7 linked regions of the Callithrix jacchus genome follow. The protein of the gene in region 6 interacts with the protein of the main gene of each other region in a pairwise test. Links are inferred from orthologs where the notes say so. Each region holds a gene or a part of one and is shown on either strand. Other genes may lie near its edges.

Evidence for each region.
Region 1: the proteins of TCL1A (region 6) and AKT1 interact in binary tests that used the Homo sapiens proteins (3 or more experiments, as listed by UniProt). The link is inferred for Callithrix jacchus from reciprocal best matches to the Homo sapiens genes TCL1A and AKT1.
Region 2: the proteins of TCL1A (region 6) and GOLGA2 interact in binary tests that used the Homo sapiens proteins (3 or more experiments, as listed by UniProt). The two-hybrid records come from large-scale screens. The link is inferred for Callithrix jacchus from reciprocal best matches to the Homo sapiens genes TCL1A and GOLGA2.
Region 3: the proteins of TCL1A (region 6) and LSM3 interact in binary tests that used the Homo sapiens proteins (3 or more experiments, as listed by UniProt). The two-hybrid records come from large-scale screens. The link is inferred for Callithrix jacchus from reciprocal best matches to the Homo sapiens genes TCL1A and LSM3.
Region 4: the proteins of TCL1A (region 6) and CADPS interact in a two-hybrid assay, tested with the Homo sapiens proteins (3 studies listed by BioGRID and IntAct). The two-hybrid records come from large-scale screens. The link is inferred for Callithrix jacchus from reciprocal best matches to the Homo sapiens genes TCL1A and CADPS.
Region 5: the proteins of TCL1A (region 6) and PRTFDC1 interact in binary tests that used the Homo sapiens proteins (3 or more experiments, as listed by UniProt). The two-hybrid records come from large-scale screens. The link is inferred for Callithrix jacchus from reciprocal best matches to the Homo sapiens genes TCL1A and PRTFDC1.
Region 7: the proteins of TCL1A (region 6) and TTC33 interact in binary tests that used the Homo sapiens proteins (3 or more experiments, as listed by UniProt). The two-hybrid records come from large-scale screens. The link is inferred for Callithrix jacchus from reciprocal best matches to the Homo sapiens genes TCL1A and TTC33.

Annotation. Positions count from the first base shown.
Region 1 is NC_133509.1:139,660,222-139,664,459, forward strand, and holds the start of AKT1 (RAC-alpha serine/threonine-protein kinase), read right to left. Parts: upstream 2,824-4,238; 5' UTR 2,740-2,823; coding exon 2,694-2,739; intron 1-2,693. UniProt on the Homo sapiens protein: AKT1 is one of 3 closely related serine/threonine-protein kinases (AKT1, AKT2 and AKT3) called the AKT kinase, and which regulate many processes including metabolism, proliferation, cell survival, growth and angiogenesis.
Region 2 is NC_133502.1:176,862,946-176,865,887, forward strand, and holds the end of GOLGA2 (golgin subfamily A member 2), read right to left. Parts: coding exon 2,821-2,942; intron 2,734-2,820; coding exon 2,631-2,733; intron 2,538-2,630; coding exon 2,431-2,537; intron 2,355-2,430; coding exon 2,198-2,354; intron 2,110-2,197; coding exon 1,898-2,109; 3' UTR 712-1,897; downstream 1-711. UniProt on the Homo sapiens protein: Peripheral membrane component of the cis-Golgi stack that acts as a membrane skeleton that maintains the structure of the Golgi apparatus, and as a vesicle thether that facilitates vesicle fusion to the Golgi membrane.
Region 3 is NC_133516.1:71,157,340-71,161,785, reverse strand, and holds the start of LSM3 (U6 snRNA-associated Sm-like protein LSm3), read right to left. Parts: upstream 2,838-4,446; 5' UTR 2,797-2,837; coding exon 2,776-2,796; intron 1-2,775. Other genes in the region: XPC (DNA repair protein complementing XP-C cells), read left to right, coding at 3,088-3,190. UniProt on the Homo sapiens protein: Plays a role in pre-mRNA splicing as component of the U4/U6-U5 tri-snRNP complex that is involved in spliceosome assembly, and as component of the precatalytic spliceosome (spliceosome B complex).
Region 4 is NC_133516.1:44,309,922-44,313,687, forward strand, and holds part of CADPS (calcium-dependent secretion activator 1), read right to left. Parts: intron 2,474-3,766; coding exon 2,372-2,473; intron 882-2,371; coding exon 818-881; intron 420-817; coding exon 296-419; intron 1-295.
Region 5 is NC_133508.1:25,235,962-25,239,727, forward strand, and holds part of PRTFDC1 (phosphoribosyltransferase domain-containing protein 1), read right to left. Parts: intron 2,059-3,766; coding exon 2,041-2,058; intron 657-2,040; coding exon 574-656; intron 1-573. UniProt on the Homo sapiens protein: Has low, barely detectable phosphoribosyltransferase activity (in vitro). Binds GMP, IMP and alpha-D-5-phosphoribosyl 1-pyrophosphate (PRPP). Is not expected to contribute to purine metabolism or GMP salvage.
Region 6 is NC_133509.1:130,524,733-130,529,295, forward strand, and holds TCL1A (T-cell leukemia/lymphoma protein 1A), read right to left. Parts: upstream 3,006-4,563; 5' UTR 2,942-3,005; coding exon 2,798-2,941; intron 957-2,797; coding exon 804-956; intron 389-803; coding exon 341-388; 3' UTR 226-340; downstream 1-225. UniProt on the Homo sapiens protein: Enhances the phosphorylation and activation of AKT1, AKT2 and AKT3. Promotes nuclear translocation of AKT1. Enhances cell proliferation, stabilizes mitochondrial membrane potential and promotes cell survival.
Region 7 is NC_133503.1:164,859,637-164,863,225, reverse strand, and holds part of TTC33 (tetratricopeptide repeat protein 33), read right to left. Parts: intron 2,845-3,589; coding exon 2,491-2,844; 3' UTR 1-2,490.

The sequences.
Region 1 (4,238 bases), about 9.1 Mb from region 6:
AGGCCCAGAGGCCTCGCCTGGGTCCACAGGTCCACATAGGCCTGGAGCTGGAACGCCCATGTCCTCATGCCAGGTCCCTTCTGCCCCTGAAGCTCCTCTGACCCAGAGCACACACCTCAGAACAACAGAAAGCAGCCTGGGCCACTCTCCAGAGACGACACCTGCCTCCCAAGAGGCAGGAGAAGGAGCTGCGCCTGGGCTCTGCAGACACGGCCACCCAGCCACTCACACACAGGGCACAGCCACCCCCACTCATCTTAGCGGCCACAGCACCCCCGAAGGCACCATCACGTCATGCGTGGCCAGCCCAAGCAGCCGTGGCGGAACTGTCGCCTAGGAGTTCAGCGGAGAAGCAACGTGCCCCAGGCCATGGCCGCGGGGAGTCCTGGCAAAGGAAACGGGCGAGGGCCCACTCCGGGACAGCGCCCTACCCTGCGCGGAAAGTCCAGGAGCAGCAAAGGGCACCTGCGAGGGGCTGTGGCTGGGCCCGGAGGATAGTCACTGCAACTCTCCCTGCTTCCCGCCCCCAGCCAGGCCTGAGCCCTGAAGCAGGGGTGGGGGCCGCCCAGCACAGCCCTGCTAGGGACAGGGAGACAGCTGGCACCTCCAACCTGTGTTGTGGGTACGCTGGCCCTGCCAGCAGGATGGCAGAGCACATTTGCAACACACAGGGGACCCGGGGTACAGGGAGTGGGAAAACGAGGCAGGCCCTGGAGGACAGGCTTTCCTCGGCAAGCAGGGCCGGCCTTGCAGGTGGAAGCCCGCCTGCTCTCGGCAACAAGAGAGGCCGTGCCTGCCAAGGGCATATGTTACATCCACGCTACCTCGCATCCTCAGTGCCCACTATACCGGGGATGGGGGAGGAAGAGCTGCGGGGAGAGGTCCAGGACCCTCTCTCCTGGCCTGAGGCTGGGGGCCAGGCGACAGAGCCCAGAGGCTGCAGACGCTGGCTGGACCCCAACTCAGGGACCCCACAAGCCATTCTCCACACCACAAGGTCTCCCTCCCACCACTGCACCCTGGTGTAGATGGGGAAACCGAGGCCTGAGGCGCTATATGAACTTGCCCTTGGAAAGGGACACTGTGGTGGAGTGGCAAACAGGGGTCAAACTCAGCTCTCTGGATGCCCCACTGGGCCTGATGTCCCGTCTCCGCCAGGCCCCTCCCGAAGGTATGACCTGAGCAGAAAACTGAAACTCACCCAGGCCTCAGACAAGTACCCCGGCCTGGGCCCAGCTGGCTGATGGGTGCCCCAGTAACTGGGCCTGGGCCCCTGGGCAGTCGAGGCCCTGGCATCTCCTGGGTCAGCCCTGAATCCAACAGTCCATCAACAAACAAACATTTGCCGAGGATGAGGAAGCGGCAGCTCCAAGCAGCAGGGCGTGCGGGACACAGAGGCACAGGATAGGAGCAGGGGGTCCCCGACACCAGAGGGCTGTGAGGCAAGGCAACAGAGTACCTCCAGGCACAGGGAACAGGACTCCTGGGGAACAAGCAGGGACAGCAAGGGCGGGGGATGGAGACGGTATGCTGGGCAGCAAGCCACGTCAGAAGCTCCCCAAGGACTGCAGGCTCTGCAGCCTCCTTGTCTCTGTCTCCAGGTCCCGCGTGCCATCCTGGTAGCTGCCCACTCGAACACTCCAAACCCACAGCTGACCACACCCCCAAACCCCTGGCATCTCATCTTGGTCACTCCTTCACCCCACTCCCAGGCTCCTGTGGCTTCTCAGGCCTGTTCTGCAGTGAGCTCCTATACATCCCACAATGCCCCATCTTGTGACACCCACTTTTGCCAGTCTTCCCTGTCTGCTCCAGCTGTGTCTGGGGTCTCCCCACTAGCACATGTGAAATCCATCTGCTAGAGGGTGTATGTAAAGAGGGGTGGGCTGCTGGCATGAGATCACTAGAACTTAGGAGGGAACAGGTCTGGAAAAAGAAGCAGAAGGTAACTGCCCCAGGTCCAAAGGACCTGGACCTGAACAGGAACCTGCCCCAGCGGGACAGAGGAGTCTGACAGCCATCCAGCCTCCTCTGCACCCCACTGAGCATGGACGGTGGGCAAGGCAGAAGGGCCTGCACAGGGTTGGAAGGGGTGAGGCTGTGGCCCCAGCTCCCATCCCACCAGTTTCTGGCCAGGCCCCCTCGGCCAGCACCCTCTCCATGGGCTGCAGGGCCAAATGAGGAGGAGGACTCAGGGGCTGGGGGGGCCTGGGCTCACGCAGCTCTGCAGCTCCAAGGCAAACATACCCTGTGCCCATGTGGTACGGATTCCCCCCCACCCCCAAAACTCAGGCCTGAAGCAGGCACCAGGCCAAGCCAAGCAGCCCTGCCCTGCCCTGCCCTCAGGAGCCCTTGGGCAGTGCCCCGGGCCGCCAGCGTGCCAGGCACTGGAACAACCCAGCGTCCTCACCGCCTTCCAGGAAAGAGAGGCTGGCAGCAGCTCCCCTGCCTGCAAGGGCCTGCACCAGGAAACCACTGTGATGGCTGGCCCTGCACGGGGCCTCATCCTCCCAGCCTCCCTAGGCCAGGCCCTCCAAGCTATGGGAAGACATGGGACCCCAGATACTCACCCTAGGCCAGCCAGGAGCCCCGGGGGGGGGGCAGCCTGTCCCAGCCAACAGGCCTGAGTACAGGCACTCAGACCCCGCGGCCACCCCCGTCCCTCCCTCCCCAGGCCCAGCCCCGGCACTGACCTCGTTTGTGCAGCCAACCCTCCTTCACAATAGCCACGTCGCTCATGGTGCCCGGTGCCCGAGGCTCCCTCTACGCTCACGCACTCCTCTCAGGCCGCTGATCCCCGAGCCCAGCTGACCTGACCACAGCCTCTGGGAGAAGTAAAGGGAGCTGTGTATGAGGCCGTGACTGGACAAGGACAGCTCCTCGCCCCGAATGAGCCCGAGACCCACCGCATGCGCCTGAGCTCCACCACACCTGCCTTCCCAGGGGAGCTGCCATCCCTTTAGGCTCCCTGACCCCCATGTGCCGGCCTGCCTTACCTCTCCCCAAAACACTCAGGCTGCCAAGTAATTGAACAGTTTCCTGGCTCAGAGCCGGCGGCCCCTGCCGCTGTGGCCACCCCAACAGCCAGGCCCTGAGAGCTGCTGCCTTGCTCACCCCCCTTTCCCACCTCCCCCTGCCTTTAGACAAATCACCTCTTTCCCCAAAAGGCCTTCCCAGCCTCCCTAATATGCTGCACCAGCTGACAGGCTGCCTCCTCCAGGCAGCCCCTTTCACCATCTTGGCCCAGGCTGGCTCGGCCTTCCCTAAGCCCCTGGTGACAGATGGCCCCATTTGCTCTCCCTGTCTGTGGTGTTCCTCCCCAAGGATCCTGGGACAGAGCACAGGGCTCCTCCCTGCTCCCCAGACTAGGAAAGCAAAGAAACTCAGGCATGATGAAGGCAGGACCAGGATGCAGGCTGCAGGCGCAAACGGGAGCCCAGAGCCCTCCGGGGAGATCCCAAAATCCTCCTGGGAGAAACCCCAGGCCCCTCCTAAACCACAGCGCCCCTGTCGGTCTGAATCTGGTTCATTCATTTGACCAACGTGTACCAGGCGTTTTGCCAGGCCCACTGCCGGGTGCTGAAGACAGAGAGGTTCAGACAAGTCTGTCAGTGAGGAGCGCCCAGTCCAGGGTGCTTACAGACCCGTAATTACAGCAGTTGGGAGGCAGCAAGTAAGTGGAGGAGCACTGGACAGTGCCCTCCAGCAGTGCCCACCCTGAAGTGCCCACCAGCCAGCCCTCACCTGAGCACACTTAGGCCATTGATCCTGTACGGCTTCCTCATTTCCCCTCTGATGGATGAACTCCTAGGCATCCCTCAAAACCCAGTTCCCATATCACCAACTCCAGGCATCCCCAGAAACAGCATGTGGCATGCTCTTCCTGGGACCAGTCCTCTGCTACCCTTCCAGAGAGACCTTCCTGAGGGGAGGAGGGTCCTCTCTGGGACCTCTAGGCCAGGCAGAGACCCCTGGCGACCTCTCTCCCTGCCGCCAGGCCACCTTTCTGGCCTCCTGAGGCACGGGCTGGAAACCCAGAGGGTTGCTTTGCACTGAGGGTCTCAAGCGAAATTTAGAATGGCGGGAAGGCCCACTGCTTTCTGTGTAATGCCAAGACAGGGAAAACCACACCTTGCCCGAAGAGGGAAGTGCCCAAGTGCTCAGCAGGACGGAAAAGCAGGCCAGACCCCAGGAAGGCACCGCAGGGCTGCGCCAGCCTCAGGCACAGGGGGCCCTGA
Region 2 (2,942 bases), on a different chromosome or scaffold from region 6:
TTCCTCCCACCCCCCACCAAGCATGGGGGTGCTGTGCAGGCAGCCGTGTGGCCTGACAGTCTCTACCAGTCCTGCTGTCCCTCGGCTGAGAATAAAACCCATTTCTGGATAATGGGGAATGTCTCCTCTGCTGGTTGTGTTCTCTCTGGAGCTCAGGGGAGGGGAAGGGCTAAGCCATGTCTAGGGTGCTGTTGGGGGCAGTGAAAAGACCACATCCTCTCCAAGAGACACTCCTCCTGGAAAGCCCCTGGAGCTTAGCTGGCTCTCATCCTGTGAAGCTGGCTCTGGCCACTAGGGGGCAGGGCCATGAACTCAGCCTGGAGGGAGCCTGCAGGGCAGCCTGCATTCAGGAGGGACAGTCACAACAGGCCACCAGGTGCAGTCAGACAAGGGAGGCAGGGAGATGGAACAGAAGACACCTGGGCTGGTTGGAAGTCAGTGCCCTTGGGTGCTGGCACCCTGCCTTCTCGGCCACCGCTAGATCAGGCATCTGAGCCTGTTGGCCATAAGGGCTGGACTATCCCTTGTAGGTGTCATAGCAGTCCCCATGGAATCCCCCACGTGTCACCAGGCAGCATAGTTCAGACAGGTTACAGGCCTGGAAGGTCCCAACAGCCCAGCTGCACATGCTCAGACACTCTGGGGCTTCCTGTTCAGTGGCACAAACTCCAGGACCCAGTGAGGGAAACAGGAACATGGCAGGCCAAGCAGTATGGCTAAATCCATTTATTCCGAAATAAAAAGCAAAATAAACAGGAGTCGCATCACCAGGGCGCCACGACCCCATCCCCGCCTCCTTCTCTGTCCTATGCTATCAATAAATAAGTTTCCCAGCCCCAAATAATTATTAGAACCTCCTCCCCATGTGCCAGCTCCAACATCTGCTAGGTATGATACAGGGGGCAGCACTACCCCCAGAATATACAAAATGTTACACAGATACAATATATACACTGGGGAAGCCGGGCCACCCCAGCAGCCCATGCCCTCACCTGTTCTACGGTTAGCCCCACTGTCCTGCCTCAGCTGCCTCTCAGTGTAAGAAGATGGGAACCCCCCTGAGGGAAAAATTGCTTTGGTGAGAATAAGGAGGCCATTAGGCCTCCTCCAAACAAGCCAATTCTATAATCGTCTGGCTTTTAAATAACAATATTCATCATCCAGAAATTTAAGGATTCAGCCCGGGCCAAGGTGGCAAAGGGTCTGCATGTTTTCTCCCCCCATTATACAAGGGTCTTATTTTGCTACTGTAAGAGTAAAGGGCAGAGACATGATGGGGTCAGAGCCTCCAGCCCTATTTCTCCAGGCTTTGCTGACAGTGGCCTATTTTTATTTTATCCCGACATTTTAATCCCGTAACTTTTTTTTTTTTTCTGAGATGGGAGTCTGGCTCTGTCACCTAGGCTGGAGTGCAGTGGCACGATCTCCACCTCCTGGGTTCAAGCGATTCTCCTGCCTCAGCCTCCCCAGTAGCTGGGATTACAGGCACACGCCACCACAACAGACTCATTTTTGTATTTTTAGTAAAGGCGGGGTTTCACCATGTTGGCCAGGCTGGCCTTCAACTCCTAACCTCAGGTGATCTACCGCCTTGGCCTCCCAAAGTGCTGGGATTACAGGCGTGAGCCACCATGCCTGGCCATTTTTTGTAACTTTTATACCATAACTTTTTTATCCCATAACTGTTAGTCCCATCACTTAATTTTTTAAAATTTAGAGGCCTGCTTTTAGATGACAGTGACCTTCACCTCATCTGCACCTGTCTACCCCCGTTAGACAGGGGTCATATGCTTGCTACTGTAAGGGTAAAGGGGTGACTGGGAAGGGATGGTAGGGACATGGTGGGGGCAGGGCCTCTAGCCCCACTTCTTCAGGCTTTGCTCATACTGGCCAGCTTTTAAATGATGGTGATCTTCACCTCATCGTTCTCATCAGCCCGGTAAAAAAAAGGAATGCAGGGGTTGCTGCCCAAGCCTGGGCGCTCCCGGGGGTTCTGCATCTCACGAAGCAGCTGCATTATCTGCTGTGCAGTGGGGTTGTCTCGAGGAGAACCCTCCCCAGTCTCTCCTTGGGCAGGCTCGCTGCCGGCGAGGCTCACCTCACAAAGATCTTTGGAGAGAGAGAGGCAGGGCTCTGAGCACCATGTGAGCCCTCCCTTGCTCCTGCCTGCCCACACCTCCCGAGGGCTCTTACTCACCACCCTGCTGGTTGGCAGACCCAAGCTCCTGGGGGGCTGGGGCCCCTGGATTGGGCTCATCTGCAGGGTGTTGGGCAGCTGCCAGGAATCTGCTATGCCACTCATTTCGGTCGTTCACAAGCCGTAACACCAGCTCCTGCAGCTCCAGCAGCTTCACCTGGAGGGAGGGGTGTTCAGCTGCCGTGCCCGTGCCTGTGCCTGTGCCCACCCCACAGAGATGTTCCACACCGTACCTTCATCTCCTCCTTGTCCTGGGCCAGCCTGCTGATATACTCCTCCTTCTCCCGGTGCCGCTCCTTCAGCACTGCCCTCTGGCTCTGGTATAGTGCGATGTACTCTCCTGCAGGAGAACAGGAGAACAGGGCTCAGATGCTGGGTTCCCTCTGATTGTTGTACAGCACCTTCTCCTGCTGTGTCCTGGCCTCCCACTCACCAATGGTGTCTGTCTCTCCAGACAGCTGGATACAGCGATGTTCCAGTTCCTCTACCCTCTCCTTCAGGTCTGCCTTCTCCTGCATGAGCTCCATAAATCGGCTCTGGAGCCAAAATAATGGGGTCACATCTCGTCAGCCACCTGCCCCACCCCCACCCTTCTTGGCCCTTGCCAGGAGAGACTCATTCACCTGTAGCTTCTCCATGGCCTCCTGTAGGGCTCGGTGGGTCTCCCCACACACAGAATCGCTCCCAGTCCCTGGGGGTGGGGCTGCCGCCTCAGGCTCCTGGGCGGAGGCCAGCAGGTGAGCCA
Region 3 (4,446 bases), on a different chromosome or scaffold from region 6:
CTCCTAAGCTATAAAATGGAGATAACAGTGTCTACCTAATACTGTTGTTGTGAGGCTTAAGTGATATCTATGACGGCTTAGAACAGTGCCTTTCATATAATATGTGCTACATAAATGTAGGTTAAAACACACATACACAAAAAGGAGTTACACAGCAAAATAATCATGACTATTCTTTGTTCCCTCAAAATCAAACTGCCTGACCCAATTTCAGGGTATGGGCTCTCAGGGACTTTAGCTTTATCTCAAATATTATGTAATCGTTGGAAAAACACTCACTCAATGTCTACCATACACTAGTCAGAATGCTAAGTAGAGGTGTAGGTTAATGGGAAGATTATGAATTTAGCACAGGTTGAGTTTAGGCTGCCAACTGGCCAGTAAGATGAATATATTTAGTAGACAGTATAAAACGCTGGTTGAAAGCACTGGCTTAGCCAGGCACAGTGGCACATGCCTGTGGTCCCAGCTATTCAGAGGCTGAGGGGGGAGGATGGCTTGAGCCTAGGAGTCGGAGGTTGCAGTGAGCCAAGATCGTGCTACTGCACTCCAGCTTTGGCAACAGAGTGAGACTCTGTCTTGAAAAAAGAAAGCACTGGTTTTGGAGTCAGGCAGTCTGGGTTCAACTCCTGGCTGTGACCTGACTCTAATGAACTAAGATTAAAAATCATGCCATCTGTAATTCTGATTCTTCATTTGTAATTGAGGAGGCCACAACCTTCCTTCTGGGTTCTTGAGAAGTTTAAAGTAGTTAATGTATTTACAACAGTGCCAGGTAAACAGAAAATAGTAATAAACGGTTCCTACTGGCTGGGCATGGTGGCTCACGCCTGAATCCCAGTACTTTGGGAGGCTGAGACAGGCGGATCACCTGAGGTCAGGAGTTGAGACCAGCCTGGCCAACATGGCGAAACCCCATCTCTACTAAAAACAGAAAAATTGGCCGGGAGCGGTGGCTCACGCCTGTAATCCCAGCACTTTGGGAGGCCGAGGCGGGTGGATCACGAGGTCAAGAGATTGAGACCATTCTGGTCAACATGGTGAAACCCCGTCTCTACTAAAAATACAAAAACTTACAGGCATGGTGGCGCGTGCCTGTATTCCCAGCTACTCGGGAGGCTGAGGCAGGAGAATTGCCTGATCCCAGGAGGCGGAGGTTGCGGTGAGCTGAGATCGCGCCATTGCACTCCAGCCTGGGTAACAAGAGCGAAACTCCGTCTCAAAAAAAAAAAAAAAAAAAAAAAAAAACCAGAAAAATTAGCCAGGCATGGTGGCACGCGCCTGTAGTCCCAACTACTCGGGAGGCTGAGATAGGAGAATCGCTTGAGGAGGTGGAAGTTGCTGTGAGCTGAGATCTATTGTGCCACTGCACTCCAGCCTGGATGACAGAGTGAGATTCTGTCCAAAAAAAAAAAAAAGGAAAAAGAAAAGAAATGGTTCCTATTAGTATTATTAAAGAACTGCTGGAAACGTCGGTTTTAGAGGTCAGGGCTAGGATGACTTGGGGTCGAATGGTTGCAGCCATTAAGAGAAAGACTATTCAAGTAGATCTTCATTAAGTACATGAGGCCAGTGGAGGAAGGTGACTGAATGCAACAGGCTCTAAAGCTTCAAAAGGTCAGATGAGAGAAAAAACAAAACCCTGACTCGACTGATCCCTACTTCCCTAGTTCAACAGGTGTTTGTTAAAGGATCAGATAACCAACTGTTAGATTATAACGATATAGAAGTCACAATCTCCACTCTCAAGGAGCTCATTGTAATGTGGAGAGGCATACAAATAAATAATTAAATACTGTCAAAATATGCACACGACAGAACCCTACTGCTACCTAAGCCTCTGTCTACGATGCCCACTGTAGCTTTAAATATTGACTTTTCAAAGAGGCCTCATTAAGTAAATATTTGTTGAGTGTTTCCAGCACTGTTCTAAACCCTAAGGACAGAAGAAAGAACAAAACAAAAAACCTGCTCTTATGGCACTTAAATTCTAGTGGGAAGGGTTATACATTAAAAACAGATGCATATATTTAATACGAAATAATAATGCGCTCTGAAGAAAAATGAAGCAGGGTAAGAAGAGTAAAGCGTGTGCTACTGGCGCAGGAGAAGTCCTCTCTGAGGAGGTGAGATTTCAGTAGAAAGCTTAAGAATTTGTGGCTTGATCTCCAAAGATATTTGAGGAAGAGAAAGACAAGGTGAAAAAGCTTCTAGGGCCATCTGTTATTCTGCAAACTAGTTCCTTGTTTCCTTCACATCACATCACAGTTCCTATGTCTCCTACATATTTATATTTACTTTTATCTGTTCTCCTCACGAATATAAGCTCCAAGTAATGGCAGGGATCACTTCTATGTCGATGTCAGTGTCCCTGGCCCTTAGAATAGTGTCTAACCATACAAAGCTGAATTTCACTAAATATGCTAAATGAATAAATAATGGTTGCGCTCAGTAATGATATGAACTTCTAACTTCATCATCAGGCTTTCTATTGGAATCCTAACAGCTCCGTGAGGCAGGCAAGGATAATAATTTACAGATTTAAAAAAATGAATTGAAGAGTGTGATGAATAGTAGTCAGGTGGGCTTCTAACCGGAAAAGATCTCAGGGCCTGCAGCAAAATTCGGAGCAGGGGGCGGTTACGGAAAGGACGGGGCGGATTGGACCATGGTGACCTGGAAGGAGGAGACACGACTGGCCATTTTTCCTAAGTTTGGGAAAACCAGCCCTAGTACGCGAAGCTGCTCGAAGCGACCCCCTTAAAGTACACTCACCTGGTCTACGTCGTCCGCCATGTTTCAAACCCTGCGCTCTTTCCCGCTTCTCGCGAGAACACAAGAGCAACGCGGATCTCCGGAAACAGGAGGATATAATACACCGGAAGTAGAGAGAAATCTGTTTTTCTCCTTCCTGCTTCCTGTGGTTTTTGGTGGCCACGGGTATCGCCGGAGCTTCCTTCGGGGGCGTGGCTAGGCCTCCAACTAAGGGACAGGGCTAGACGCGCCCGCCTGTGGGCGGAGCCCGCGCTCTGGTGCACAGCGGCCAGGTGCGTCACTCACGAAGTGGATTTTGCCCCGAAGAACAACATGGCTCGGAAGCGCGCGGCCGGCGGGGAGCCGCGGGGACGCCAACCGCGCAGCCAGAAGTCCAAGGGCAAGAGCAAGGCCCGGCGTGAGGAGGAGGAGGAGGGTGAGAGCGAGGCCCAGCGGGCTTAGCGGGAGACGCCGCAGCAGGGCGGAGGAGGCCGGGAGGCTGGGGTGGGAGGCCAGACGTGGAGACAGGATGCAGTTTACTGCGCGTCTTCCACGCCGCGGGGACGTGACGGCGGCCGCGGGAGCAGCTCGGCAGGCCGCGTCCGGCCCTCCGCTCTGTCCCTGTCCCTTTGTCCTCCGCACGCAGAGCGATTCCTCGGGAGCCTCGCCCGACCCAAGCTCATGCGTAGCGTTTTTCCGCTCCGGGTTGCCCAGAGGATACAGCGCAGATGCTCAGGGCTGAAAGTGGAGAAGGCAGTTATTTGGGTCCCAGGAAGGCAGACAGACGGACCAGGACGTAGAGTGATGCAGTGTGGTGACTCCCGAATGGTCACTTAAGCGGAGTCTCACCCGGAGTTCCACAGTGGGATCCCACCTGACTTCCCCACGTGAATATCGGATAGGCTTCTTATGTTTGTCACAGGCAAAGCGGAGCTCATGGTTTTCCCCTTTAAATCTATCCTTTCCTCCGTTTTTCCAGTCTCAGTACTTGTTATAAAGCAAAGCCTGCCTTTTTCTTATGTGCACACATCAGTCCATCAGCAAATCCAGTCAGTTCAGCCTCGGACTGTATCTTAAATTTGTCCACTTCATTTCCATGGCCATGGCCCCTGTCCAAGCCACCATCACCTTTCAGTTGAGTGACTGCAGTTTCCTCTTTATTGGCCTCCCAGTTCTCCATCCAGCAACCCAAATAATCTTTTTTTTCTTTTTTTAATCATGCCGTGTTCCTATTTTAAACTCTCCTTGGCTTCCCATTGCTCTTAGCTTAAAATCCAGTTGGCTTAACCTGGCCTGCAAGATGCTACATGTTTTGGCTCTTGCTACCTCTCCTGTTTCTCCTACCACTTGTTTCCTTGCCAGATACCCACCTTATTGGCCTCCTTTCTCTTCCTCAAATATGCCAAGTTATTTCTTGAGTCTTTTCCTTTGATGTTCCTTCTGCCTAGAGTGACCCCTCCTCCCACCCATGGCTTTTGTCAGGGCTAATTTCTTAGATTTCTTCAAATCTCATGTCAGACACTCCTCGAACATCCTAAGGTGGTTCTTCCCAGATACTTTCTATCATAGGACTCCAATTATTGCCCTCCCAGCCTCTTTCACGATCTGTAATGAGCTTAATTTATTTGCTTCCTTGTTGCTTGCCTATCTAGTATTTAGTCTTCATGAAAGCATGTCTTATTTTTTGCTGTA
Region 4 (3,766 bases), on a different chromosome or scaffold from region 6:
CAGAGCCGATATTTGGGACCAACACAGACTCTCAGAAGGAACTTAGTTATCTGATAACATCTTATTTTCAATATTGTTCCCTTACAAAGGCTGTTTTCTGAGCCCCTGTAATGTCTTTTAATTCATTTACTTGGCCACAGCCAAGGAGGCTTCCACATTTCAAGTACTTTCAGGTTTCAGCTTAATATACTCAGATAGACCACTGTTTTCAGGTGCCCTTCAGAAAAAAGAAAGACTTCCCCAGGGAGGCATATCACAATTTAAGTTCAAAACTGGGGGCAGAAGGGAGCCTTACCTTCGATTTTGGCATACTCTGAGAGCCGAGAATAGTTGACTAACGCAGCCTGTTCCAGACATTTACGGATGACTGTTTTTACCTCCTCTTGTGGCACTGGGGTAACAATATCTTTCATCAAAACCTTCGAGTAGAAAAAAGAAGGATTATTAAGAAGGTTCAAGCAAACGTGTCACTCATCCACATTTCTTAGAAGTGTGCAAGTTTAAAATCAGTTCTTTGTGACTTAATACAGATTGAGAGCCATGCTTAAAGAGAAAGCACCAGAACTGCAAAGCATTGGCAAAGGCTGTCCATGAATCAGGGAAGGGCTAGGAACATATCTTCAGTATATCCTATTTGGGAGTTTGAAGATAGAATATCATGAGTTTTGGCAGTTTCCTCCCTTCTATTCTGATATTTGTTGAATGGTAAACAAATCCTATAAAAATTACAACTAGGTCATTCAACCAAAACATTTCATTACAATTATGTTTATGTCTCTTTATATATACATGATCTATCTTTTACTTTTATTCTTACCCTTTCCAAGAGTGAGAGAGTAGCTTTCAAAGCACCTTCAGGTCGACCAAATGGAAAGCAATACCTAAAAAAGACAAAATTCTTCAGGTTGCCTAAATTATTACATTTTAGCATGAAATATGCTGCAATTTGATTCCTATAGCAACTCTCTCTGAGGAATGGAAAATGCTTTTTATTTTGTCACGTTGTGTTATGTTAATCTGAATTCACACCATATATGTGTGTATATAATGTATATATGTGTATGTGTGAATAATGACTAAAGAGGGACTCTGCAAATGTCTGTAGCAGAAAAGAATATTCAGAGTGGTGACATAAGGCTCTGTTTAGATTTCTATTGTGAAGGAGAACTATTCGTTAGCTCAAATGTGACCTTATATGTTATTATTGAGACTGGCGTTAAAAAAGTATTAGTTAGAATTGGCTCAAATTCAAATACATTTACATAAGTCCCCAAAAGATTGATATATGGAATAGAAAAGTGGATTTAGAGCAAATTATTGATTCTGCTAGCTGTCCTTCCCTGCTTACGGTTTGCTACTGTTATGGATCTTCTGCTACCGGTAATGCACTTTACATATAATGTAAGATCAATAAAGATTTATCCAGGAGGATTTTGATGGCACAGAAAAAACTATGTCAGATACCACTATGAGTTCCAGTGACTGGTTTCAGGTTGTCACTGGCCCTTCAGGACACTGCACATGGGACAGAGAGACTAGCATGGATACTTAAACACAGACTATCTTATGTAAGCATTCCACTTCCACTTGCTGGCTGGCTTGCTTTGGGCAAGTTCCTTAACCTCTCTTAGTCTCGTTTTATTCCTGGTTTAAATGGGGATTATGATAACTACTTTACAAAGCTGTTCTGACATGGGCTAACACTTCTCCAGCCTCCAGTTGTGTATCTGGCATATAGGAAGTATTTAATCAATAGGGACCATTAGAAATGCTAGTATTATTTTTCAGTTTCTATTTCAGGATCTCTGGTCCAGAACCACTAGGACAGCATTAAAAACACCTAATTTGCTCCAAGGGAGAAGTGGGCAATGTGGTGTAAGGCTCAAGTGCAGAATCTGCTGGCTCTTTCGAGTATGCAGGGAAGTTTCAATCCACCCAGGTGGATCCAAGGTTCGTTCTTTCCCTGTGCAGCCAGCTAGTCGTGTTTCTGAGGTAGGGGAGAAAACGAAGACTCTCCTAGGAGTACCACTGCCTTCCTTTCTTGTTCACTATGTTCTGATTTGCAAGAATTTTTGTTTTTTAACTTAGGAACTTTGAAGAAACTTCAAATCCAACTTTCTATAATAGATTGATGACCAGGGTCAGCTCGAACATGGCAGGATTTGTTCTTTAAGTGGAAATAACATAAACTTAAGAATGCAAACTTTTCCTGGTTATTGCGGAAGCAAGGCTGATTGGTTTGCTTCTTCTACTCAGTTATTTCCAAATATCCAACTTATCCTCTGGTAGATTTACAGTTTTGGAACATTAAGCCCTCTATCTTTTTCCACTCTCATCTCCTAATCAAAGCCCTCAAGCCCCAGATCCTTACCTAAAATGTGTAATCTGATTTTCCAGCAGAACTCGGAGTCTCTCTTTGATTTCTTCGAAACGCTCCTTTTCTTCAACAGTCACAGTTCCGATTCCGTCAGGCCTGAAAGAAGACATGTCATGAAATGACGGGAACTTCATATGCTGACACCATCAAATCAAATCTCTAGCAGGAGGAAACTGTCTATTTTAGAAGGAACAACTACAATGATAGATGTGACCTCAGGAGGAGCCCAGCTATTCAGGGCTGGCCTCCAAAAGAGCTGGGTTGTGTTTGGGTTATCATTTTGGAGACATGCAGAGCTGTAGCTCACTTTTTGTGACATGGTAAAATGTGCAAACTGGTGGCTTGCTGCTTAAGTACAGCCCCTGAATTTGTTCTGTTTGGCTCACAGCTTCTTAAGAAATTTGAACTACTTGGCAACATTTTTTTAAAATCAGGGAAGTTTTAGAATACAACTCTGATTTCTGTTTTTTTTTCTTGAAAATATGAAACAGCTGGCATTATTAATTGCTGGCTAACAGCTTCTTCCTTATCTGGGGCAAGCACTCACCTGGTCCACATTCCTAAATTGTATTACCTATCTCTTTTATAGGCACTTGGCTTTGGGATCCCTGAATTATTTACACAAATTCCTATGAAAATCAGATGCCTTGTAAGTGTTTGTCATTCCCAGTGTTAAACATCTTACATTGCTCGATTTCCTGCTTATAACTACAGATGTTTGGATTTATTTAAGTGATCTTGTATTCATTGAAGAACAAACCATGTTTTCCAATTTTTAGTAAACTATTACTCATTGTAATAAAAAGAACTCCAGTTTAAATAAGTGATTTCAGTTTGATCATCATATTCTCATGGTTCTGTGTCGCCTTAGGTGTGTACATATATCCCCTATTTGTTATGGATCATTCAAGTTGAAAATCTAAAGGGAGGCTATATATTTATAGCTCCAATTTATCTGTTTCAAACTAGATGCAGGATAATCTGACCCATTCAAAGTCTTCAGCTTCCCAGATCTCATAGTGACTTGTTTTGACTACTGGCTGAGCCAGTTTGCAGATTGGTGTGTCACCATCAAACTTCTATTGGAACATTCTTCAGTTTGCAAATGCAAGTCATCTTGAGACCAAACAAATGGTCTTATTTATAGGCCTTCTCAAGGATCCAGCGTAAGTTGGGAAAATCCTTTATACCAGACTAGTCTGACTGTACAAAAGACTTGGCAAATGACAGCAATGTACCTCCTGGGAGGGGTTAATCAGTCAGCTTTCCTTCTTTTTTGATAATAAAAGTACCCTATTTGAAAAATGAGAAAATTTCCTCTCTCCCACTTTATAAGAAATAACCCCCAAACAGTAAAATCCCGTTTAGTCCCTGTCTTCATACCCTTCT
Region 5 (3,766 bases), on a different chromosome or scaffold from region 6:
GGCTCATGCCTGTAATCCCAGCACTTTGAGAGGCTGAGGTGGGCAGATAACTTGAGGTCAGGAGTTCAAGACCAGCCTGGCCAACACGGTGAAACCCCCATCTCTGCTAAAAATATAAAAAATCAGCTGGACATGGTGGTGGGCGCCTGTAGTCTCTGCTACTTGGGAAGCTGAGGCAGGAGAATTGCTTGAACCCAGCGGGCAGACATTGCAACGAGCCAAGATTGTGCCACTGCACTCCAGCCTGGGTGACAGAGCGAGACTCTGTCTCAAAAAAAAAAAAAAAAAAAAAAAGGAAAAGAAGCGGGCAAAGCAATTGCAGGGAGGCTCATTTAGCTGCTCCTGGAAACAGCTAATGAAGGCACCCAGAAACACGGCAAAGCACGTCTTCTTCCCTTTCTTCTCTCAGGCTAGCAGTCAAGAGCTGTTTTTCAGTGTGGTCAAACTGTAATACCCCAGGGGAAAAGGGCATTAGTTTGGAATACATTATACTCTTAGAGCGTCCTCTGTTAGCATCCCTTCTGAACTTGCTTGGAAAAGCAGAAATCACCATGCTCTGAATATCCGACTCACCTGGCTACCTTAATCATGTTGGGTTTGTATTTCTCTATACTGCTGAGGAGTGCGTTCATGGTCCTCCCAGTTCCAACAACATCCTTTGTAGAAAGGACAGATACATTCAACAAAATGCATTTGAGCAGCATCACAGACTTTTCATCCAGGGAGATACTCCTGATTAATAATGCATTGTAATTAAAAATGCCATCCAATTTGGAGTCAAAGTAGTAGGAGGAGTTGGTTATGTTTTATTTAGACAAGCACTTCTTTCTGGAAGTTGAGTTTGGGGAATCTACTGGAGATTCTTTCCTCCTTGAATCCTTTAGCTGTGTGGTAGGGCCAAATTTAGCCTTTGGACAGCATGAGGGACTCCTCGTTGAGTATATTTGGACTTGTATATGCGCATTCAGGGACTAAATTTGTCCCTGAGGTTGTGTAACACAATACAAGGCGCATGAATTTTCATGGATATGTACATCTGAATACACTGAATGGATAAATGCCTCCCCCTTGTCCTCCTCCACTCAATGGGGGATTCTATGGCTGGGAAGTGAGAGGTGTCTGGACAGCAGCTGCTGACAGCCTGTGAATTCTGAGGGTCCACGGCTGCAGCGAGCTCAGGCTCATCTCTGCTGATGAGCTGCTGCACAATTAGAGGAGAATGGGCAGCGGCGATTTATTGTCCTGAGGACAGGAATCAGCTGTCGCGAGCTGATTATCAAAACAACAGGTCTGAATGTAGCCAGGGCTGGGCAATTCATTTGGTGAGAGGGTCTACTCTGTGGGTTATATGGAGCAAGAATTGCAGATACACATGGCACACACAGGCAATTGTGTAACAAAAGCTTGAAAACAGTTCCCCTGAATTTTTTGCAGTCTGATGAGACAAGTGCGCTCCTGAAGGAAATGTAGCCATTTGCTGTATTGGTCCACTACTGCCACAGGGTTCCCAAGTTGTCTTTTCTGTCTCTCTTTTTAAATAGAAAGACAAAAGAAAAAAAAAACACACACAAAAAACTATAGTTTTCCCCATAGCTTGCCATTTTAATTGATTGTGTTTATGATTTTGATGCTGAAAGTATTAGAGAATTCTCAAAATCATTAGACGTCCTTAGCAAAAACACTGAATTCAGGGTAAATGGAGTTTTAACCTTGGTTTTACTGTGAAATGAACTTGGTTTGGTGAGCTAGTTTCTTCTTCTTTAAACTTGTCTGATTCACAAAGAGGTGTAAAAATCAACACAGAGATATGTGGAACTGGATACAAAAAAGGATGAATTCCTCCACGAGCATTGTTGCAAAGCTTTTATTCTACATTATTTGAAACCCGGGATGCTAGTTGGCCCCTATTCATTAAACTTGGAGAGTGTGCACCCAGTGGGAACTCAAGAAATCCTTGGTCAATTTGATAACAAGGCTTACAGTTTACTCGCTGTTAGATTCCTTCAACCTCCAAGTGTGGAAAAGGAAATGCCAGCTTACCTCAACAATGAGAACATTCTGAAATAAACAAAACCCATGTTTTAGAATGTGATGCCAATCTGACTCAGGATACATACACATATTTTTTTTTTGCTTAAAGTTAGAATTTCACAATTTGCTTAAATGGTCCTTCCCCATCCATCTAATTCAAAGGACTAAAGGTGATCTAGGTTTTCCAGATTCATTTGAACAGGTTCCCTGGAATTAGTTGGTACAACATTAGTATCTATATTCAGGTTAGAAGCAAGCTTATCTTAGACCTGTCTGACGAGCTATCCATAAAGTCATCCCATCTCAATAATTCCTCCAAGGGCCCCCACCCCCAGCATTCCCTTGGGAGGCAAAGCTTGTTAAGAGTTTACCAGGAAAACAAAGCAACATGGACTGCTTCACTAATGGAGAGAGACTGTGCTTGGTAAACGCATCATGGGTTTGGCTGTGACAGCCTTACTCTTGCGCAGCCACCAAAATCCCTGGGGACTCAGGATTTGCTCTTGGATTGCCAACCTAGATGAAGAGGGTAGGCCAGAGAAAAGGCTTCGAGGTGCCTGGTCTGTATTTTTAGTGGGAGGGTTAGATTCCTTGCAATAAGCTCTCAAAGCATTCCTCTACTTCTCCCCTAAGAACACTGTGATATGGTTAGGATCTGTGTCCCTGCCCAAACCTCACGTTGAAATGTAATCCTCAGTGCTAGAGGTGGGGCCTCTGGTGGGAGGTGACCGGATCACGTGGGCAGGTCTCTTGAATGGTTTAGCACCATGCCCCTGGGTGTTGTCCTGATAGTGAGTTGCCCTGAAATTTGGCTGTTTAAAGGTGTGTGACACCACCCCTCTTTCTCTTGCTCCATATCTGTCTCCAGACCTGTGAAGTGCTGCTCTCCCTTTGCTTTGCCATGATTTTTTTTGTTTTGTTTTTGAGACAGGGTACCACTCTGTCATCCAGGCTGGAGTGCAGTAGAGAGCAATCTCGGCTCACTGTAACATCCGCTTCCTGAGTTCAAGCGATTCTCCCACCTCAGCCTCCCCAGTAGCTGGGATTATGGGTATCCACCACCACGCCTGGCTAATTTTTGTATTTTTAGTGGAGATGGGGTTTTATCAAGTTGGCCAGGCTGGTCTTGAACCCCTGACCTCAAGTGATCTGCCCACCTCAGCCTCCCAAAGTGCTGGGATTACAAGCAAGAGCCTCCACACCCAGCTGCCTTCTGCCATAATTTTAAGTTTCCTGAAGCCTCCCCAGAAGCAGGACAGATGTCGATATCACGCTTCCTATACATCTGCAGAACTGTGAGCCCATTACATCTTTTTCTTTAGAAATTACCCAGTCTCAGGTATTTCTTTACATTGTGAGGCTGGACTGATACACGCTGATTGTATTGCATTGGAATTTCTTGTTTGATCTCTGTCTTCCCCACTAGATTCTAATCTCCACGAGGTGGGGGAGCATGTTTACCTTGATTCCTACGACATTGCCAGAAACTAGCATAATGCCTGCATATAGATGCTTAATAAATAGTTGTTGAATAAAGCAATAATAACTAATTAAACTTATTAATGAGTTTAAACTGACCGAGTAATTGGATTAGGAGTGACCTGTCAATGCTGCCCCACCAAATTAAAATATGACTGTTAATATGGCATCCCAATTTACTAAATGGTGAGACTATTCTTTCAATGTAATGGTGTTTTTCTTTCTTTAGATGATCTTTCATTTAACCCTATGATTT
Region 6 (4,563 bases):
GACCACTTCCTCAGAACGCAATAACACCATCTAATATCTGGCTTGGTCGATATAATTTAAGAAAGCGACTGACAAAGTGCTGGCCGCAACTTGTGAAGCCCTGTACAGATGCATGCAGCTGCGCTAAGGTGGCCATATGCATCTGCGAAGCTCCTGGATCCCAGTGGTAAGGGAGAGACATGAGTGCCTCCAGGAAGCCTCTCCCATCCCAGGACCCTCAGAAGGCAATAGTCGGGGAGGGGTTAGCACTGCCCTCACGGAGAAGGGGTGCTCTTTCCTTCTGATACAGCCACTGTGGACTAAGAGGGGTCAGGTCCCAGTGGAACTCACCATGCCACACTCAGTCATCTGGCAGCTGCTCGAGAAGCATGTCCTCCAGGCCTTCAATCTGAGAGGCAGAGAGAGAGAGGGCACTGATCAGCCGGAGCCCTTCTCTCCCTCCATTTCTCACTCCTGTGCCTTCCCCTAGCTGGGAATAACAGGTGGGAACCCGAGTGTGAGGATTTCAGGGGCTCTTGGAGACTGCCCTCCTCCCTGTAGCCTTCAGCCTGTGACTGCCCACCAAAGGGGGCTTCCTGCGGCCAGGCTGGGGGTTGGCAGGGAATAGAGGGAGGGTTCTGTTAGAGACCTCAGAGGAGCTATCTTCTCTGTGGTAAAGTCTTTTAGAAATCCACAGTTGTACATTTCCCCCATTTTTTAATGCTTTTGGCACTGGGATGGAGGGAAGATAAACCACTGAGGCCAGGCACTGAGGAGGGGAAACCCAAGATCGCCCCATAGATCCCTGGGAGAAACACACTTGCCTTGACGTGGTACACTATGCGCCAGAAACCGGAGTCTGAGGATCGGTATCGTCCGTCAGGGTAGAGCTGCCACATGAGAGGCAGCAGGCTTGGGCCTATCTGGGTGGGGGTCATAGGCTTCCCCAGGAGGGTGACTTCCTGACGAAAGAACACCTGTAATTTATCCTCCTTCTGAGAAGAAGAAAAGGACAGGGCACACCTTCAGGATCCGCTTGCCAGGGCTCCTCCAGACACAGAAAACCAGAGTCCTTCCTGCCAGCCACCCACCCAGCTGGGGAGGGGTCTGAGTGTGAAATGCTGGTCATCACTGTCCCCTGAACCTCACTTCCTTAGCCATGCATGATCCTCACAGGGACTCTGGCTGGGCCAGGACCACCAGCATGCACACGTGTCTAGCCACCTAGAAAGGGCCATGAAAGGCACACTTTTTTCTGGCGAGTTGCAGTGACTCACACTTGTAATCCCAGTGCTTTGGAAGGCTGAGGTAGGAGGATCACTTGAGGCCAGGAGTTTGAGACTAGCCTGGGTGACAGAGCAAGATCCCGTCTCTACAAAAAAAAGAAAAAAAAAAAAAAGACGAAAGAAAAAAAAGAGAAAAAGAATACTGGCTTTTTCAAATGTGTGAGGCAAACCCTGCCCCACAGTTTGCTAGTGGGTTACTTTTTGTGTGCCATTTATCATGATTATGTGAAAAACTGTCTAGTTTGTGATTTTGGTGTCACGTTGAAGAAGAGATTTCTCAACCAGACATTGTAAAAAAGAAATTCACTGAATCTTTAAATTATTTTTTCAAATTTTGACTTAAGTAAACATTTGACATGATTTTTAAAGAAAAATGTATATTAAAAAAATTTAAATGCCAATAGAAGTGCAAATTTTGGTGGTTGAAGAGCCTCGAATTCCAGCCCCGTTACCTACTAGCAGTCCTACCTTGGGCACATGTATATTTTTGTGCTTCAGTTTCCCATCTGTAGAGACACAGTCAACACTCAATAACTCTTGTTTGCTATTGTATTACATACATGTTCTAATATATTTTTAAATTTGTATACTTTCTGCAGTGTATGTTTGGAAAGAGTTTGAATATTTTTGACTATTTCATTGAGTAAATCCAAATACTTGTAAAAGAGTTATAGTTCTCTAATAAAAACGTAACATGACCTAAAGACGCATTTTAAGGTATCACATATGAAACAAAGCCAATACTGATTCAATACTGGTGCTTAGACTCGTTAAATTTGTTCTTTTCTTTTTTTTTTTTTAATTGAGACGGAGTTTCACTCTTGTTACCCAGGCTGGAGTGCAATGGCGCGATCCCGGCTCACCGCAACCTCCGTCTCCTGGGTTCAGGCAATTCTCCTGCCTCAGCCTCCTGAGTAGCTGGGATTACAGGCGCGTGCCACCATGCCCAGCTAATTTTTTTGTATTTTTAGTAGAGACAAGGTTTCACCATGTTGACCAGGGTGCTATCGATCTCTGGACCTCGTGATCCACCCGCCTCGGCCTCCCAAAGTGCTGGGATTACAGACGTGAGCCACCGCGCCCGGCCTAAATTTGTTCTTCTTAATAAAGCACAGAGGAAATAGGAAATACCTCACACTCCAGCGCAGTGGTTGCTATGACCCTAAGCTGTTGAAAGTTCTTTATAAAATACAGATTTCTGGGACCCGCCTAAGATGATTCCGATGATTGGCCATATGAATGAGTCACTTACTTTAGAAATACCCATTTTAAGGATTAGGACCCCGAAGCCCAGAAACGTCCTGCTGTAGTCAACATTATAGTCACACTCACAGGTCCCATCCTTTGGTCGACATTCCTTTGTGGTTTTCCCACCCTTCTTCGCGGCCTGGTGAACTCCTGTTCAAAAGCCCAGAACCCGGCTCAAAGTGGCTTCATCTGTGGGGAGCCTCCCTGCCCCAAAGTGGGTGCTCCTCTAGGCCTCGCCCGTCCTGGGGCCTCCCAAGCTCCTGGGGCTGCCCCTGCTGCCTCACCATCCGCTCCAAAGCGGGCTGTACCTTGATGACTAAGGGCAGCCAGGTGCGCTGGTTCTCATCCAAATACACGAACTTCTCCCAGATCCACAGGCGGTCCGGGTGGTCGGTGACTGACTCCCTGCGTAACTGCTCCTGGGCCATGGCTCCCTCGGATTCTCTAAAAAGCAAGAGCCAGAGTCTCTCCAGGTAGCTCGCTGGTCCCTGGGCGATGGGGCCACGCTTTATAGCAAGGCAGCTTGCGGTCGCCACCCAGCGGCGGGGCGGGAGGACGGCCTTGGGGCGGGGCTCTGGGGCGGGACGACGACCTTGGCGCAGGGCGTAAGGCAGGATGGGGCGGGGCTCGTGGGGGTCGTGGTGGCAAGTGAGGGTCCCACGCAGCCTGACTTGCTCCCTGGAACGCTGGCAGCGCCTGGGAACGCAGACCTGGGCCCAGCAGGCCCGCGGCGACCCCGACCGCCGTTCTCCGCTGCTAGAGAGGCACCTGGGGTGACGGTAGCCCCTTCTTCTTCTGGGAGGCCCCGCCGCTCCCTTCGCTGCGGGACCCCGGAGTCTGGGCCTCTGCTGGGAACTCACAGTCGACACCAGGATGCCCAGAGCCGGGACCCCTTCCACATTTTCTGGGAGCAGAAGAGACCCACGCGGGCCTGAGCTAGGCCTGGGCTTTCCAAGCTTCGCTGGATCGCTCCCAGCCTGGGCCTTTAAGCGTCAGAGTACATTTCTTGGCAAAGTGCAACTCTTGACTCTCCCCCTTCGTCTTCCATACACAAAGCATGCGTTTTCTATGGCTCGGTGATGCTGTGGACATCTAATAGGTATTACAAAATGTGGTGGAGAAACATGGGTGTTTCCCTTTGGGCTTTGAATTTGCTAGTGAAAGCATAGTTCAAAATGAATACTTAAACCCCTCCTTCCACCCTAAGATCAGTGGATTTGAAAAGTACCTGGTTTATATGATCAAAACCATCTCTCTGTAAATTAGAAGCACTAAGGAAAACAATTCGCTTTATTTTGCAGTAACGCATTCCCACTGAGGCAATTAAGAAAGTAAGCATGAGAAACAGGTGAAACCAGCTCTAGCCTGATTCAAACATCACCACGGGATGGAGTTCGGTGCCTCCTTCTAGCTCTTTCCCATCTCTCTGGCTAGGCATTAATAAAATAATTTGTGATTCTTTGAAATGTCACAAAAGTGGATATGAAGAGACCTGATGAGGACACCTGATTCACCTGGCAGCCGGGTATCTGCCTCTTTGCCTGTCCAGACAACCTAATTCCCAAGAAGGGGCTGAGGTGGCCTAAGATAGCTGAGATATAAGGGAATTTACCAGGAACACAAAAATAGAAGAGAAAAGCAGAGGGAAGTTAGGGGTGGAGTGAGGGTCCTTGAGCCCAGCAAACCTTTTTTCCACTGTAGCCCTTAGTGCTGTTAATATTTAATATGCAAACTTACTGGTTTCAGACTGATTTTCCTGTGAATGGCTCTTGACTTCAGACCCAGATAGCTACAGAGCAAGATGAAAACGTCACAAGCTCTGTTGGGGAGGTCTCATCCCAGGCCACAGCTTTGAGGTAAGAAATAACAAGTCCAGTTAAAATAGTGCTGCTAAGATGGACTTTGGCCAGGGAAGGGGTCCCCAGGAGCCAATGTGGCCACTGACCCAGCCCCATCAGTGGCTCTAGGACCCAGAAGGCTACAAACAATGGAGCAAGAATCAGATCGTTGTGTCTGGGAAAGCAGAATGTTCTGGGAATAGAATTCCTTT
Region 7 (3,589 bases), on a different chromosome or scaffold from region 6:
AATTAGCTGCCTTCCTTCTCCATAACTCACTGTCCCTTTTTCTCCTCTATCTTATGTCTAAACTATTTTATATCTTACAGTCTTACATCTGGATAAGAAAGACACTAACTTGGCTTACTATGCCAATACAGAGGAAATACTAAGTTCTTTAATAGGGCCTAATGGCCACATGCATTCCATCCTGAGTCTTGCCTCTTTTGAGCTTAAGCTACAGACCCTTTCAAGAAAAAAATCCCGACCAGGCACCACCGTGTGCTCAAGCCTGTAATCCCAGCACTTTGGGAGGCTGAGGCGGGTGGATCACAAGGTCAAGAGATTGAGACCATCCTGGTCAACATGGTGAAACCCCGTCTCTACTAAAAAATATACAAAAAGTTAGCTGGGCATGGTGGCGCATGCCTGTAATCCCAGCTACTCAGGAGGCTGAGGCAGGAGAATTGCCTGAACCCAAGAGGCGGAGGTTGCCGTGAGCCGAGATCGTGCCATTGCACTCCAGCCTGGGTAACAAGCGCGAAACTCCGTCTCAAAAAAAAAAAAAAATCCCACTGTCTCTCCTATAATACTGGAAGCAGTGACTTGTTACTTTCAGATAAGAAAAGGATTACAAAAAAAGTTCTCCTTTTTTTAAAATCAGAGGAAATTGAGACTAAATATAACCAAACTAATTCAAGTTCTTCATAGACATTTACTGAAATAGCTAGTATTACTTCATGTGCAGGGCACCATGCAAGGTACTTTAAATATATTGTGTTCATATAAGAAAGATATTAAGGAGATCAATCTAATTTTTCAAAAGCTAACAATACAAAATAATAGGAAAAAATCTTCAAAATGCAGAAGAAAATATTTATTCACAAATTACACAGTAAACAAACATCCATTACTCAAAACAATATACCAAATGTTGAGTACTCACTTCTCTAGAAACATATTTACTTTTCAAGAATGTTCTTTATTCTCAAAAAATACATAATTAATGTATTTTTTTGAGCGCTCTGAAACTAACCTCTCTAACCAGAGCTAACTTTCTGATGATATAACTTAGGGAAAGAATATTATTTTCAAGGCAAGTGCTAATTTCTCCCAACCCAGAAAAGAGATATGCATTCCAATAAAACAAAAGTTTTAAAAACTATCTTCATAAAAAATGTAGATCATTACTTACATGCTCCAGTAGTAGTAAGATGTTTAACACAAAGTGGGCTACTTTCATTCCTAACAAAGATAAAATTAATTTTACACCAATAATATCTTCCTGAGTGTCAGAAGTAACAGAACCCAACAGGTCTATATTATTGTACTACAATATATAGTATAAAAATAATAGTTCAGATTAGCAATGACAGTATTGGCTTGTGAATGTGATTGTGGTCTTTCAATAAAATACTTCTTTCATATAGGTTTCTCATACTCATGAGACTGTACTATAAATCACATTACATTTTCTATGTATTTTGTGCTTATTTACTCACTGGCATGCTAATAACGACTCTAATTTTTTATTTTTAGAAAGATATAATTGGCTATTTTAAATTATAATTATTTTTTATGTCACTGAGTAGTTTCAAAAAAAGTTACCTAGAAAAGTAATTCCCAATCACCAGATGGAAACATACAAGCAAGAAATAAGTTGTTTCCAGGGTTTTTAAAGCTTTGTAAAATAAAGAAAATAAAGTGTTGGTTTTGACTGAGATAATATAGCAGTACAGTTGTATTAACCTATCTGTAAAAGCCATTCATTTAAAAATACGTATTTTAAAAATGACTCATTTGTGGTAAGGATTACTTACTGTAACAATTAAAAAATAAAACCATCATTCTCATATTTATCAATACTTCACACTTCTAACAAGTACTGAAGGAGACAACTATCATTGATATACTTCAAAGTCAAAACAAAAACACAAATCAGGATTAAGAGAAACTTCAGAAAATGTTCAGAATGTACATATTTGCGTGCATTTTCAGCCAAACTTTCAAAGATTCCACATATAACCAAATGACAACTTTGAATCAAAATGAATGTCAAAAATACTCAAGCTTTCTGACAGAGTTACTCCAATGAAGCAAGGAAAAGAGCGTAAATAGTAAGAGCAGTATATTTCTCTGAGGGAGGGAAATCCCACTATCATAAAATAAAAGTTGAAACAGCATTTCAGTATCATTGGCCAAGTTATTCACTATTCAAGAATACACTTTTCAAGTTGTCTTTGAAATGTATTCATTTACATATTCAGATTAAACTAAGTTTAATAATCACAAAAACATTTTACTCAGAATTTTAACCTTGAGAAATATAAATCATAACTTATTAAAGCATACTGCAAACACTATACAAGAATCCTGCCTTTTTAGTTTTTATATGCCTCATCTGAAAAACTTATTTTACAACCAGGAGTTCTGCTATCTATCGCCAGAGTATGTGTCTCTATGTCAAAACTTCAAGTGGCAATCAAAAAGACAGATTCAAATAATCCTATGCATACTGCTTCATCGGGCTTTGATAAAAACAGAGCCATCTGGTGGTGTAGCACCATCTTCCTTTTCAGTTACAGTCTCTACAGCCCCAGAGGCAGACACAATGACCATTGTTTTATTTGCTGAAACTGTCTTCTCTTTCTCAGCAATAGCTGCACAAACAGCAACAATCTCATCACTTTCAAAATCATAGTCTGGAATTGACTTTGGTAAAAAGTGTGTTACTTCAGCTGGTGCTTCACTTTTTTTAATCCTCTGCGCTACCTTCTGCTGCTCCTGGAGCGTTCTTGCCCAAGAGAGGTCTTCCTTCCATATTTCAGGGTTCATTGGATAGATATGAAGGGCTACTTGAAAACTTCGAATTGCCTAGAAAATAAGGTCAGAGTTTTCTGTTTTGTTTTTAATCATTAGTATGTTTAATACAATCCTCTGTGTGTGTATGTATATACTGTACACATATACATCCTAATGTATTATTTTAATATACTAGAACACAAAAGATGAAAGCTAAGGTATTGCCCTAAACATTAGGAAAAAAAATTACAGAAGTGTGAAAGAAAGTGACTGATAATACGCCGATGGACTAAAAGTCCTTAAAATGGGAGTTCTCATAATAGGGCTCAGGATAAAGCAAATATATTGTCAGCTTCTGCAGACCAGTAAACACGTACATTTGGGGATTTCCTGGGCTAACCCACAATCACAACGGCACCAGGAGCGGATATCTTTGAAGTTAACAGTTTAGATCCTAACAATGTTAGCATTTATTGAATGTTTACTACATTTTAGGCACTAAAGATTTACATGTATTGGGCCAGGTGTGGTGGCCAAAATTTTTTTTTTGTAAATATAGGGTCTTGTTATGTTACCCAGGTTAGTCCAAACTCCTGGCCTCAAGCAATCCTTCTGCCTCATCCTCCCAAAGTGCTGAGATTACAGACATGAGTCAGCATTCCCAGGCCCTCAAGTGAAATTTTTAAAACCTTCAATCATCTACCTTTTGTCTAGAAATGATCACTTGTCCATCCCAATACTATAGGGATAATTATCATTACAAAAGTGAAACAATAAAAAGAATCAAATGATGCAACTAAAATTTCTAATTAAAGAT